Callithrix jacchus: one gene and its partners. The protein of the gene in region 1 interacts with the protein of each later gene in a pairwise test. Links are inferred from orthologs where the notes say so. Each region holds a gene or a part of one and is shown in the gene's direction. Other genes may lie near its edges.

Evidence for each region.
Region 2: the proteins of TRIP10 (region 1) and ARHGAP12 interact in binary tests that used the Homo sapiens proteins (3 or more experiments, as listed by UniProt). The two-hybrid records come from large-scale screens. The link is inferred for Callithrix jacchus from reciprocal best matches to the Homo sapiens genes TRIP10 and ARHGAP12.
Region 3: the proteins of TRIP10 (region 1) and ABL2 interact in binary tests that used the Homo sapiens proteins (3 or more experiments, as listed by UniProt). The link is inferred for Callithrix jacchus from reciprocal best matches to the Homo sapiens genes TRIP10 and ABL2.

Annotation. Positions count from the first base shown.
Region 1 is NC_133523.1:6,342,591-6,345,481, forward strand, and holds the end of TRIP10 (cdc42-interacting protein 4), read left to right. Parts: intron 1-442; coding exon 443-575; intron 576-807; coding exon 808-947; intron 948-1,027; coding exon 1,028-1,149; intron 1,150-1,518; coding exon 1,519-1,667; 3' UTR 1,668-1,966; downstream 1,967-2,891. UniProt on the Homo sapiens protein: Required for translocation of GLUT4 to the plasma membrane in response to insulin signaling. Required to coordinate membrane tubulation with reorganization of the actin cytoskeleton during endocytosis.
Region 2 is NC_133508.1:31,664,034-31,668,027, reverse strand, and holds part of ARHGAP12 (rho GTPase-activating protein 12), read left to right. Parts: intron 1-1,108; 5' UTR 1,109-1,185; coding exon 1,186-1,854; intron 1,855-3,994. UniProt on the Homo sapiens protein: GTPase activator for the Rho-type GTPases by converting them to an inactive GDP-bound state.
Region 3 is NC_133519.1:24,171,919-24,175,912, forward strand, and holds part of ABL2 (tyrosine-protein kinase ABL2), read left to right. Parts: intron 1-2,074; coding exon 2,075-2,164; intron 2,165-3,583; coding exon 3,584-3,760; intron 3,761-3,994. UniProt on the Homo sapiens protein: Non-receptor tyrosine-protein kinase that plays an ABL1-overlapping role in key processes linked to cell growth and survival such as cytoskeleton remodeling in response to extracellular stimuli, cell motility and adhesion and receptor endocytosis.

The DNA of each region.
Region 1 (2,891 bases):
CGAAACCAGCCTGGCCAACACGGTGAAACCCCATCTCTACTAAAAATACAAAAATTAGCTGGGCCTGGTGGTGTGCGCCTGTAGTCCCAGCTACTGGGGAGGTTGAGGCAGGAGGATCTCTTGAATCCAGGAGGCGGAGGTTGCAGTGAGCCAAGATTATGCCACTGCACTCCAGCCTGGGTGACAGAGTGAGACCCCGTCTCAAAAAAAAAAGAGAAAAATCAGGCGAGTGTGATGATGTGGGCCTGTAGTCCCAGCTACTCAGGAGGCTGAGGCAGGAGGATCACTTGAGCCTGGGAGGTCAAGGTTGCAGTGAGCTATGGTTGCACCACTGCACACCAGCCTGGGGAAAGAGAGTGAGAACCTGACTTAAAACAACAGCAACAACAAAAAAGCTCACAGGGAATTGCGTTTTCCTGTCTGCCTGTCTCCATTGTTGTAGGGAAGCCCTGAAGAAAATGAAGGATGTCTATGAGAAGACACCCCAGATGGGGGACCCTGCCAGCCTGGAGCCCCAGATCACCGAAACCCTGGGCAACATTGAACGGCTGAAATTGGAAGTGCAGAAGTATGAGGTCAGAAAAGACCCTGGGGAGGGGTGGGGGCCGGCGGGCCTGGCTGAGTCACTGCAGGGTGGGGTGGGGGTTGGGGACAGGGGAGGTGCTTGGAGCGGGGAAGGGGGTTCTCCAGCTGTTTTCCATCACAGCCTTGGCGGTGCCTGAGTGATCTCAGGGATCCTCCGGGGCCAGAGTGGGCTGACCTGGGAGCTCTGTCCTGGAAACGATCTTGGCGGTCCTCTCCTCCCAGGCGTGGCTGGCAGAAGCTGAAAGTCGAGTCCTTAGCAACCGTGGAGACAGCCTGAGCCGGCATGCCCGGCCTCCTGACCCCCCCACTAGCGCCCCACCAGACAACAGCAGCAACAGTGGATCACAGGACACCAAGGAGAGGTGAGGGGTGACGCCAGAGTGGGTGTGTTCCCAGGGACCCAGGAGGGCACATCTTTATCAGCCTAATTCTCCCCAAACAGCTCTGAAGAGCCTCCCTCAGAAGAGAGCCAGGAAACCCCCATTTACACGGAGTTTGATGAAGATTTCGAGGAGGAAGCCACATCTCCCATAGGTCACTGTGTGGCCATCTACCATTTTGAAGGTGAGGACGGCCAGAGTGGGCTTGCGGGGTGTCTCTATCTAGGTTCAGTTTAAATCCGTCTAAAGCAGGGCTGGGTACTTTGGGAGGCTGAGACAGACAGATCACTTGAGGTCAAGAGTTCCAGACCAGCCTGGCGAACATGGTGAAACCCCATCTCTACTAAAAATACAGAAATTAGCCAGGCGTGGTGGCGCATGCCTCGGGAGGCTGAGGCAGGAGAATCTTAAACCTGGGAGGCGGTGGTTGCGGGGAGCCGAGATCGCGCCATTGCACTCCAGCCTGGGTGACAGAGTGAGACTTGATCTCAAAAATAAAAAATAAATAAATTTGCCTAAAGTAGATCTAAGCCTATCTCCACCCCCATGACAGGGTCCAGCGAAGGCACCATCTCCATGGCTGAGGGTGAAGACCTCAGTCTTATGGAAGAAGACAAAGGGGATGGCTGGACCCGGGTCAGACGGAAAGAGGGAGGCGAGGGCTACGTTCCTACCTCCTACCTCCGAGTCACGCTCAATTGAACCCTGCTGGAGGCGGGAAGAGGGGGGCTGTCGGCTGCTGCTTCTGGGCCACGGGGGTGCCCCAGGACCTATGCACTTTATTTCTGACCCCGTGGCTTCGGCTGAAACCTGTGTAACCTGCTGCCCCCTCCAACCCCCCCACCTGACTCCACCTGTTGCTCCAGATGGACCCGCCGTGCCTTCTTCCACCATTGTTCCACCATTGATGTACATACTCATGTTTGACATCTTTTCTTCCTGCTGCTCGGCTCCGGCTATTTTGTTTTATACAAAAATGGGAAAAAAATTAATTATATAAAGTTCCTGGAGTCGGTGCCTTATTAGAAGATTTAAATACTGGGAGTGGAAGTATCTTAACGCCACATTTCTTACAGGCCACACACACAGGGAACAAGAAAGGGCAGGTGCTCTTGGGCATGCCTTGGGTCAACCCTGCCCCTTTGGGGAAGTTGGCTTTATGTCATTGTCATTGGCTGCCTGCTTGTGACTCAGGTAGAGAGAAGGATACCAAGTTTCTTTTTCTTTTTGAGATAGTCTCACCCAGTTGCCCAGGCTGGAGTGCAGTGGCGTGATCTCGGCTCACTGCAGACTCTACCTCCCGGGTTCAAGCAGTTCTGCCTCAGCCTCCCAGGTAGCTGGGATTACAGGCACACACCATCACGCCTGGCTAATTGTTTTTGTATTTTCTCTAGAGGCAGGGTTTTCCCATTTTGGCCAGGCTGGTCTTGAACTCCTGACCTCAAGTGAGCCATCCACCTTGGCCTCCCAAAGTGCTGGGATTATGGGCGTGAGCCACTGCACCCAGCCAGGACACCAAGTTTCATCCCTTCTGAATGCACTGCAGCTTCTGAGAATGGGTGGCATTTATTGAGCACCTACTGTTTGCCAGGCATTCTCTTCCCATGGTCTCATTCCTGCCACAATTCTTAGAATGTACATGGTCTTGACCGGGCATGGTGGCTCTCGCCTGTAATCCTAGCACTTTGGGGGGCCAAGGTGGGCGGATCATGAGGTCAGGAGATCAAGACCATCCTAACATGGTGAAACCCCGTCTCTACCAAAAATATAAAAAATTAGCTGGGTGTGGTGGCAGGCATCTGTAGTCCCAGCTACTCAGGAGGCCAAGGCAGGAGATTCGCTTGAACCCGGGAGATGGAGGTTGTGGTGAGTCAAGATCGCACCACTGCACTCCAGCCTGGGTGCAACAAAGAGAGACGCCATCTC
Region 2 (3,994 bases), on another chromosome or scaffold:
CCAAGTAGCTGGGACTGCAGGTGCAAGCCACCACACCCGGCTAATTTTTATAATTCTTGTAGAGGTGGGGTTTTGCCATGTTGGCCAGGCTGGTCTCAAACTCCTGGGCTCAGCCTCCTAAAATGTTAGGATTACAGGTGTGAGCCACTGTGCCCTTAATCTCCCTCTCCTTATAAATGCATCAGTCATTGGATTTTGGGGCCCACCCTAAACAACTATGACCTTGTCTTAACTTGATTACATCTGTAAATACCCTCTTTCCAAATAAAGTTACACTCCCAGGTCCTGGAGTTAGGACTTGAACTATCTTTTGGGGGAACACAATTCATCCGCAGATAGGTGAGAACTGGCTCATGTTATAGTGACATGAGGATGCGGTCATCATTTAACTTGTAAAGTTATGTTCTAGGAGGTACTAAAATATTTGGGAATTAGTATAGAAATGAAAGTAAATACATATTGGTTATTATTAATGAGCCTTTCTTTTTTTTTTTTTTTTTTTTTTTTTTGAGACAGTGTCTTGCTCTGTCGCCAGGCTGGAGTGCAGTAGCACAATCTCCGCCTCCCGAGTTCAAGCGATTTTCCTGCCTTAGCCTCCAGAGTAGCTGGGACTGCAGGCACGCGCAACCATGCCCAGTTAATTTTTGTATTTTTAATAGAGACGGGGTTTCACCATGTTGGCCAGGATGGTCTCGATCTCTTGACATTGTGATCCACCTGCCTTGGCCTCCCAAAGTGCTGGGATTACAGCGTGAGCTACTGCACCTGGCCATTAGTGAGCCTTTCTAAGAAGGTGAATGAGATTTGAGGAAGTCATGAAAGGAAGGAAAGTTCTTCTCAACCGTTCTGTCTACCTGGTTAGCGTATATTTACTATTCTAGTTATTGGCTTTGGTTTTGGTCATAAGAGACTGAAAAATGTAGAGGACAATTAGAATGAAAGTGTTTTTAATGTAGCAGTACATACGATATTAGACACATGTTTGCTTTTTGGGATTTGAAGTAATGTTCTTTAAATGGCCTATACTCTATGATGCTTGTGAGTAAATACCAAATCCAGTTTGCATTAACTTTTTTCTTCATTCTCTTCCTTCATTTAAATGAAACAGCTATCTTCATCCAACAAGCCATAAAGCCATTATGTGGCATAACATCCTTTTTGAGAGGTGAATATTATTGAGTGAAAATGGCTGACAGAAGTGGGAAGATTATTCCAGGACAAGTATATATTGAGGTGGAATATGATTATGAATATGAAGCAAAGGACAGAAAGATTGTGATAAAACAAGGGGAGCGGTACATCTTGGTGAAAAAGACCAATGATGACTGGTGGCAAGTCAAGCCAGATGAGAATTCCAAAGCATTTTATGTGCCAGCCCAGTATGTGAAGGAGGTCACGCGCAAAGCTCTAATGCCACCTGTTAAGCAGGTAGCTGGTCTGCCAAATAATTCCACAAAAATAATGCAGAGTTTGCATCTTCAGAGATCAACAGAAAATGTGAACAAATTGCCTGAGCTTTCAAGTTTTGGAAAGCCATCATCGTCTGTTCAAGGAACAGGTCTTATTCGTGATGCCAATCAGAATTTTGGACCCAGTTATAATCCAGGTCAGACTCTCAACCTAAGTCTGGACCTGACCCATAATAACGGAAAGTTTAACAATGACTCACATTCTCCTAAAGTTTCCAGCCAAAATAGGACACGCTTATTTCCTGGTCCAGAGTTCTTGGACATAGAGAAAACTAGCTTCTCCCAAGAACAATCTTGTGATTCTGCAGGAGAAGGCTCCGAAAGAATACATCAAGATTCTGAATCCGGTGATGAACTTAGCAGCAGCTCCACTGAACAGATAAGGGTAAGATTAAAAATAGAATGAGGAAATACTCTAGTAAAAACCATCCTAGTAAAAACATTAGTTACGGTTTTTCTTTTAATTGAAATATTTGTAAGAGTTAAGACTTGTTTTGCTTTGTATTTTCAGAGTACATGGGTTCTCTCCTGATTTAAAGAGATAGAAAATATGTGAAATAACTTGTGGAGTTGATAAAGGTCACTTTTTGGTTTTCATAATTATTTTTATACCATTACAGGACTAGATCTACTTTTAAGTGTGGAATCTATTTTTTCCCCTCTCTCGATTGATTACGTATAAGGCAGAGGGGATTTACTTAATTTATTCAGTGATGATATTTCTTTTAATAGAAAAGTTTTTACTCTTCTACCTGTACCCATTTTGACTTGTTTCCAAGAAGTCTTCAGGTGATAATGGTTATATGAGGAAAGATGTCATTGGAATAACTGCTAACTTTTGTCTTAAGTGTCTTTAAGTATCCACACTTGATTTCAGTGCATATTACCCTGGAAAACATTTTCTGTTTTGATGTTTCTTTTTTTTGTTTTGTTTTGAAGACAAGGTCTTGCTCTGTCACCCAGGCTGTAATGCAGTGGAGCAGTCATGGCTTACTGTAGCCTGTACCTCCTGGGCTCAAGTGATCCTCTCACCTGAGCTCCTCCCCGGTAGCTAGTATTAAAGGTGTGTGTCACCACACTCACCTAATTAAAAAAATAATTGTTTTTGTAGAGACAGGGTCTCACTATGTTGCCCAGGCTGGCCACTTCCTCAACTCAAGTGATCCTCCTGCCTTGGCCTCTAGAGAGCTGGGATTATAGGTGTGTGCCACTGCACCTGGCTTCTTTTTTTTTTAACCTAACTTTCTTTCGAGATTAGGTCTATGCCATTTTATTTCTCGAGTGAAGTGAAGACATTTTAAAAGTACATGCATGAAGCTGAAACTTGAATATATTTTGAAAAGTGTAATTTTAAGTGAATTTAAAAATAATGAATTTTTGGTGTGAAGCTCTGTTGTAAAATTATTCATCAAGTCAATGAATAATTGTGAGGTGTGCCCTTAAGGTCTGATTGTCATGGAAGTAGATTCTTTCTGTAGGTTATAATTTTTCTTGTGACATTTTGGAATGAAAATAGGAAAAAGGAAGACTCCTAGAAAAACTTCTAGTGTTTGAGATGAAGGAAGCTACATTAAATAGCTCTGTCAGTTTATGATTGTGTGTCTTAATGGGTTTTTATTCAGTCTTTATGTGATACTCTGACATAGAATATATAGCTATTTTTCTATATATAGCTCCTTAGGGAATTAATTAAGACACAGGATTCCATCCAGCCATCACCACTATTTCACACTTCAAATTACATTTTATATATTATGTACACACAAAATCCTGTTGTTTATCAGGTTTTCCTTTTGTGGAATCTTGGTTTTGTATTAAGTCTAAGAACTAGTTTTAACTTTGTGGAAGTTTTCCCTTTTATAGATCATGCTTTTATGTCAAGTCTAAGAACTCATAGTTATATTAGGCTTCTCCAGAGAAATAGAACTGATAAGGGAGTGTGTGTGTGTGTGTGTGTGTGTGTGTGTGTTTGTATACAGTCATGCACTGCATAATGACATTTCAGTTAATGATGGACTTCATCTATGATGGTGGTACCTGAGATAATACTATATTCTTTTTTCTTTTGTTTTTTTTTTTGAGACGGAGTTTTGCTCTTGTTACCCAGGCTGGAGTGCAATGGCGTGATCTCGGCTCACCGCAACCTCCGCCTCCTGGGTTCAGGCAATTCTCCTGCCTCAGCCTCCTGAGTAGCTGGGATTACAGGCACGCGCCACCACGCCCAGCTAATTTTTTGTATTTTTAGTAGAGATGGGGTTTCACCATGTTTACCAGGATGGTCTTGATCTGTTGACCTCGTAATCCACGTGCCTCGGCCTCCCAAAGTGCTGGGATTACAGGCGTGAGCCACCGCGCCCGGCCGATAATACTGTATTCTTAATTCGCATTTCTGTGTTTAGATACCAGATACTTGACCATTTTGCTCCAGTTGCCTACAGAATGCAGTACAGTGCAGATTGTACAAGTTTGTAGCCTAGGAGCAATAGGCTATACCATCTAGTTTTGTGTAAGAACACTCTGTGATG
Region 3 (3,994 bases), on another chromosome or scaffold:
AACCTCCGCCCTCCAGGTTCAAGCAATTCTCCTGCGTCAGCCTCCCAAGTAGCTGGGATTACACGTGCCTGCCACCACACATGGCTAATTTTTGTATTTTTGGTAGTGATGGGGTTTCACCATGTTGGCCAGGTTGGTCTCAAACTCCTGACCTCAAGTGATTCGCCCACCTTAGCCTCCCAAAGTGCTAGGATTACAGGCTTGAGCCACCGCGCCCTGTTTAATCTTTGTATTTTTTTTTTTTTTTTTGAGACGGAGTTTCGCTCTTGTTACCCAGGCTGGAGTGCAATGGCGCGATCTCGGCTCACCGCAACCTCCGCCTCCTGGGTTCAGGCAATTCTCCTGCCTCAGCCTCCTGAGTAGCTGGGATTACAGGCATGCGCCACCGTGCCCAGCTAATTTTTTGCATTTTTAGTAGACGGGGTTTCACCATGTTGGCCAGGATGGTCTTGATCTGTTGACCTCGTGATCCACCCGCCTCGGCCTCTCAAAGTGCTGGGATTACAGGCTTGAGCCACCGCGCCCGGCCCATCTTTGTATTTTTAGTAGAGACAGGGTTTCACCATGTTGGCCGGGCTGGTCTTGAACTCCTGGCCTCAAGTGATCCACCTGCCTCAGTCTCCCAAAGTGCTGGGATTACAGGTGTGAGCCACCATGCCCAGCTTGAACTGCAGTTGTGTCTGAACATAAGTCTGTGTTCTTTTCTCACTGAACTTTGGCGTTCTCTGTTGTACTTTGTCAAAAGTGAACTTTGAGCTCCTCCTTTTTGATATCCTTTTATATTACTGAGTATGTACAGTTGATTATACGGTCAGGCTGAGTTTGAAGACAAACTTTTACTTCTTCCATTTTCAAATGGAAGAAAACTTGTCATTTTCTAAACCATCTTCCCGTCTCTCCTCATCCTTTAGTAGAAGGAATAGGAGCTGAGGCTAAATAGAAGCACCAGCCTTAGAAAGTGGGTTCATGGCCAGGTGTGATGCTCACACTTGTAATTCTAGCAATTTGGGAAGCCAAAGTGGGCAATTGCTTGAGCTCAGGAGTTCAAAAGTAGCCTGAGCAATGTGGCAAAATCCTGTCTATAAAAATACAAATATTAGCTGGGTGTGGTGTTGCACACCCATAGTCCCAGCAACTTGGGGAGCTGAGCCAAGAGGATTGCTTGAACCCAGGAGGTCCGTGCTGGAGTGCAGTGTTGCAATCTTGGCTCACTGCAATCTCCACCTCCCAGATTCAAGTGATTCTTGTGCTTGCCTCCTGAGTAGCTGGGATTTCAGGCACCCACCACCACGCCCAGCTAATTTTTGTATTTTTAGTAGAGATGGGGTTTTGCCATGTTGATGGTCTCAGACTCCTGGCCTTATGTGATCTGTCAACCTAGTGCTGGGATTATAGATGTGAGCCACCATGCCCGACTTTCTTGGATATATCGACATGGAAAGGAATTAAAGGTTAACTTTAACTTAATAAACGAGGATATCCAGATGTCCAATAAGCGTATGAAGTGAGCTGAGATCGTGCCACTGTGCTCCAGCCTGGGTGACAGAGCAAGACCCTGTCTCCAAGAAAAAGAAAAAAGGAATTTAGAAAGTGGGTTTATTGGTTGGGCACGGTGGCCTAGCCTGTAATCCCAGCACTTTGGGAGGCCAAGGTGGGTGGATCACCTGAGGTTGGGAGTTCAAGACCAGCCTGACCAACATGGAGAAAATTCAAAAAATTAGCCAGGTGTTGTGGCACATGCCTGTAATCCCAGCTACTCGGGAGGCTGAGGAAGGAGAATTGCTTGAACCCAGGAGGCAGAGGTTGCAGTGAGCTGAGATCTCCATTGCACTCCAGCCTGGAGCTCAAAGCAAAACTCCATCTCAAAAAAAAAAAAACAAAAAACAAAAAACAGTGGGTTCGTTATACCTCTGAGTCTAGAGCTGAGAAGTGGGTATGTTGTTATCATTGTGAACATGCCATAACATGTGTCTAATAAGTACACATCATGAGGCATGGAACTCATTATTAGACATACCACTGGATATTGAATTTCTGCAAGGAGTTTTTAATATTTTCTTCTTCCGTTATGTAGGCTGGAAGTGGAGCCCTGCCGATAGGCCCTCTTTTGCTGAAACACACCAAGCTTTTGAAACCATGTTCCATGACTCCAGCATTTCTGAAGGTGAGAATCTATAGAATTTACTGTTGGTGACTAGTTCTGGGTAGTGATGGTGATGATAATGGTAATTACATTTCGAAAATGATTAACTTCTGTAGTTTGGGACTCTGTTTTATGATACTGAACTAATTTTTGACCTTGGTTATTGCTGTGTTGCTTTTTTGCTATTTTCAGTGCATCTTTGTGTCTCATATATTTTAAATTGAAGTTGTATTTTAATTAGAAATTTATTCATCTTCCCTTTAACATTAGTAAGTTTGGTAGCTCATTAAGCATCAATATTTAGGATGTAGGAAAGAGAAAAGGAAAAAATAAGTAAAAAAAAATTCTAACTCCCTGAACTGCATCTACAAAGCAGAACCAAGTTGTAAAAACAATATTCAGACATTCCATTTTTGGAAATAGATCTTAAGGAAATAAGAATATGAACAAAGATTTAACTGTAAGGACATTGCATCAGAATGTAGTTTATAATAGTGAGAAATTATGAACAACTTAAATATCTAGTGGACTGCAAATTATTACATTCATATAGCTGAATATTTAAAATGATATTCTTAGAGAGATATATATATCTGAAGCATGAGATTACAGGCATGAGGAGCCTCATACCTGTAATCCTAATCCCAGCACTTCGGGAGGCTGAGGTGGGTAGATCACAAGGAGTTTGAGATCATCCTGGCCAACATGGTGAAACCCCATCTCTACTAAAAATAAAAAAAATAGCTCGGCATGGTGGCAGGTGCCTGTAATCCCAGCTACTCAGGAGGCTGACACAGGAGAATCGTTTGAACCCAGGAGGGAGAGGTTGCACTGAGCTGAGATCAAGCCATTGCACTCCAACCTGGGTGACAGATTGAGACTCTGTCTCAAAAAAAAAAAAAATCAAGCCAAAAAAATGAAAAATAATAACATCAAATTTTAGCAAGCATGCAGAGTAACCAGAGCTTTCATGCAAAATAGTATAGCCATTTAGGGACAGGTTGGCAGGACCTGAAAAACGTGAATGCTCATATACCTTGTGATCCACCAGTTCTCCTGTGTTTGTGCCAGTCTGATGTGCATAGCATTGTCTACCAAAAGACACATGGCAGGATGATGCTAGCAATGTATTGGTAGTAACCCCAAGCTAGAAACAACCTAAACATCTATCAAGAGGAGAACAGGTGGATTGTGGTATATTCACACATTGGCATACTACACAGAAGTGAGAACCCCTGCCACATGCAGCAGCGTGGACAAATCTACAGACATGATACTGGGCAAAAGAAGACAGAAGAGTACATATTTTATGATTCTGTGTATGTTTTTTAGTACTCTCTACTTGTCAGTTCCTTCTCAGCTGTGTGCCTTTTCTGAAAAGAGCTCCCTTTCTCTGTTATGAAATTGTTCTTTTTATCAGTCCCCTTGTCTTCCTGACAGAAGTAGCTGAGGAGCTTGGGAGAGCTGCCTCCTCGTCATCTGTTGTTCCATACCTGCCCCGGCTACCTATACTTCCTTCCAAGACTCGGACACTGAAGAAACAGGCAGAGAACAAGGAGAACATTGAAGGGGCACAAGATGATGCCACAGAAAACTCTGCTTCCAGTTTAGCACCAGGTATGGGTCTCTAGGCAGCTAGAATCAAAATAGAAACTACCTTGTTGAAAGAAGCGTGGGATATGAGGCTTTTCTGTCCACTTTCATGCCCATCGTCCCTGAGGAAAGCATGGAGTCTCTTTCACCCACCTGTGAAGTCCTTGGCTCCACACTGCCAGTGTTAGTTGTCCTGATCTGTCCATCCATCATACAACTCTCCCTCCAGTTTCATCTCCTTAACCCTGGGTTCCCAAG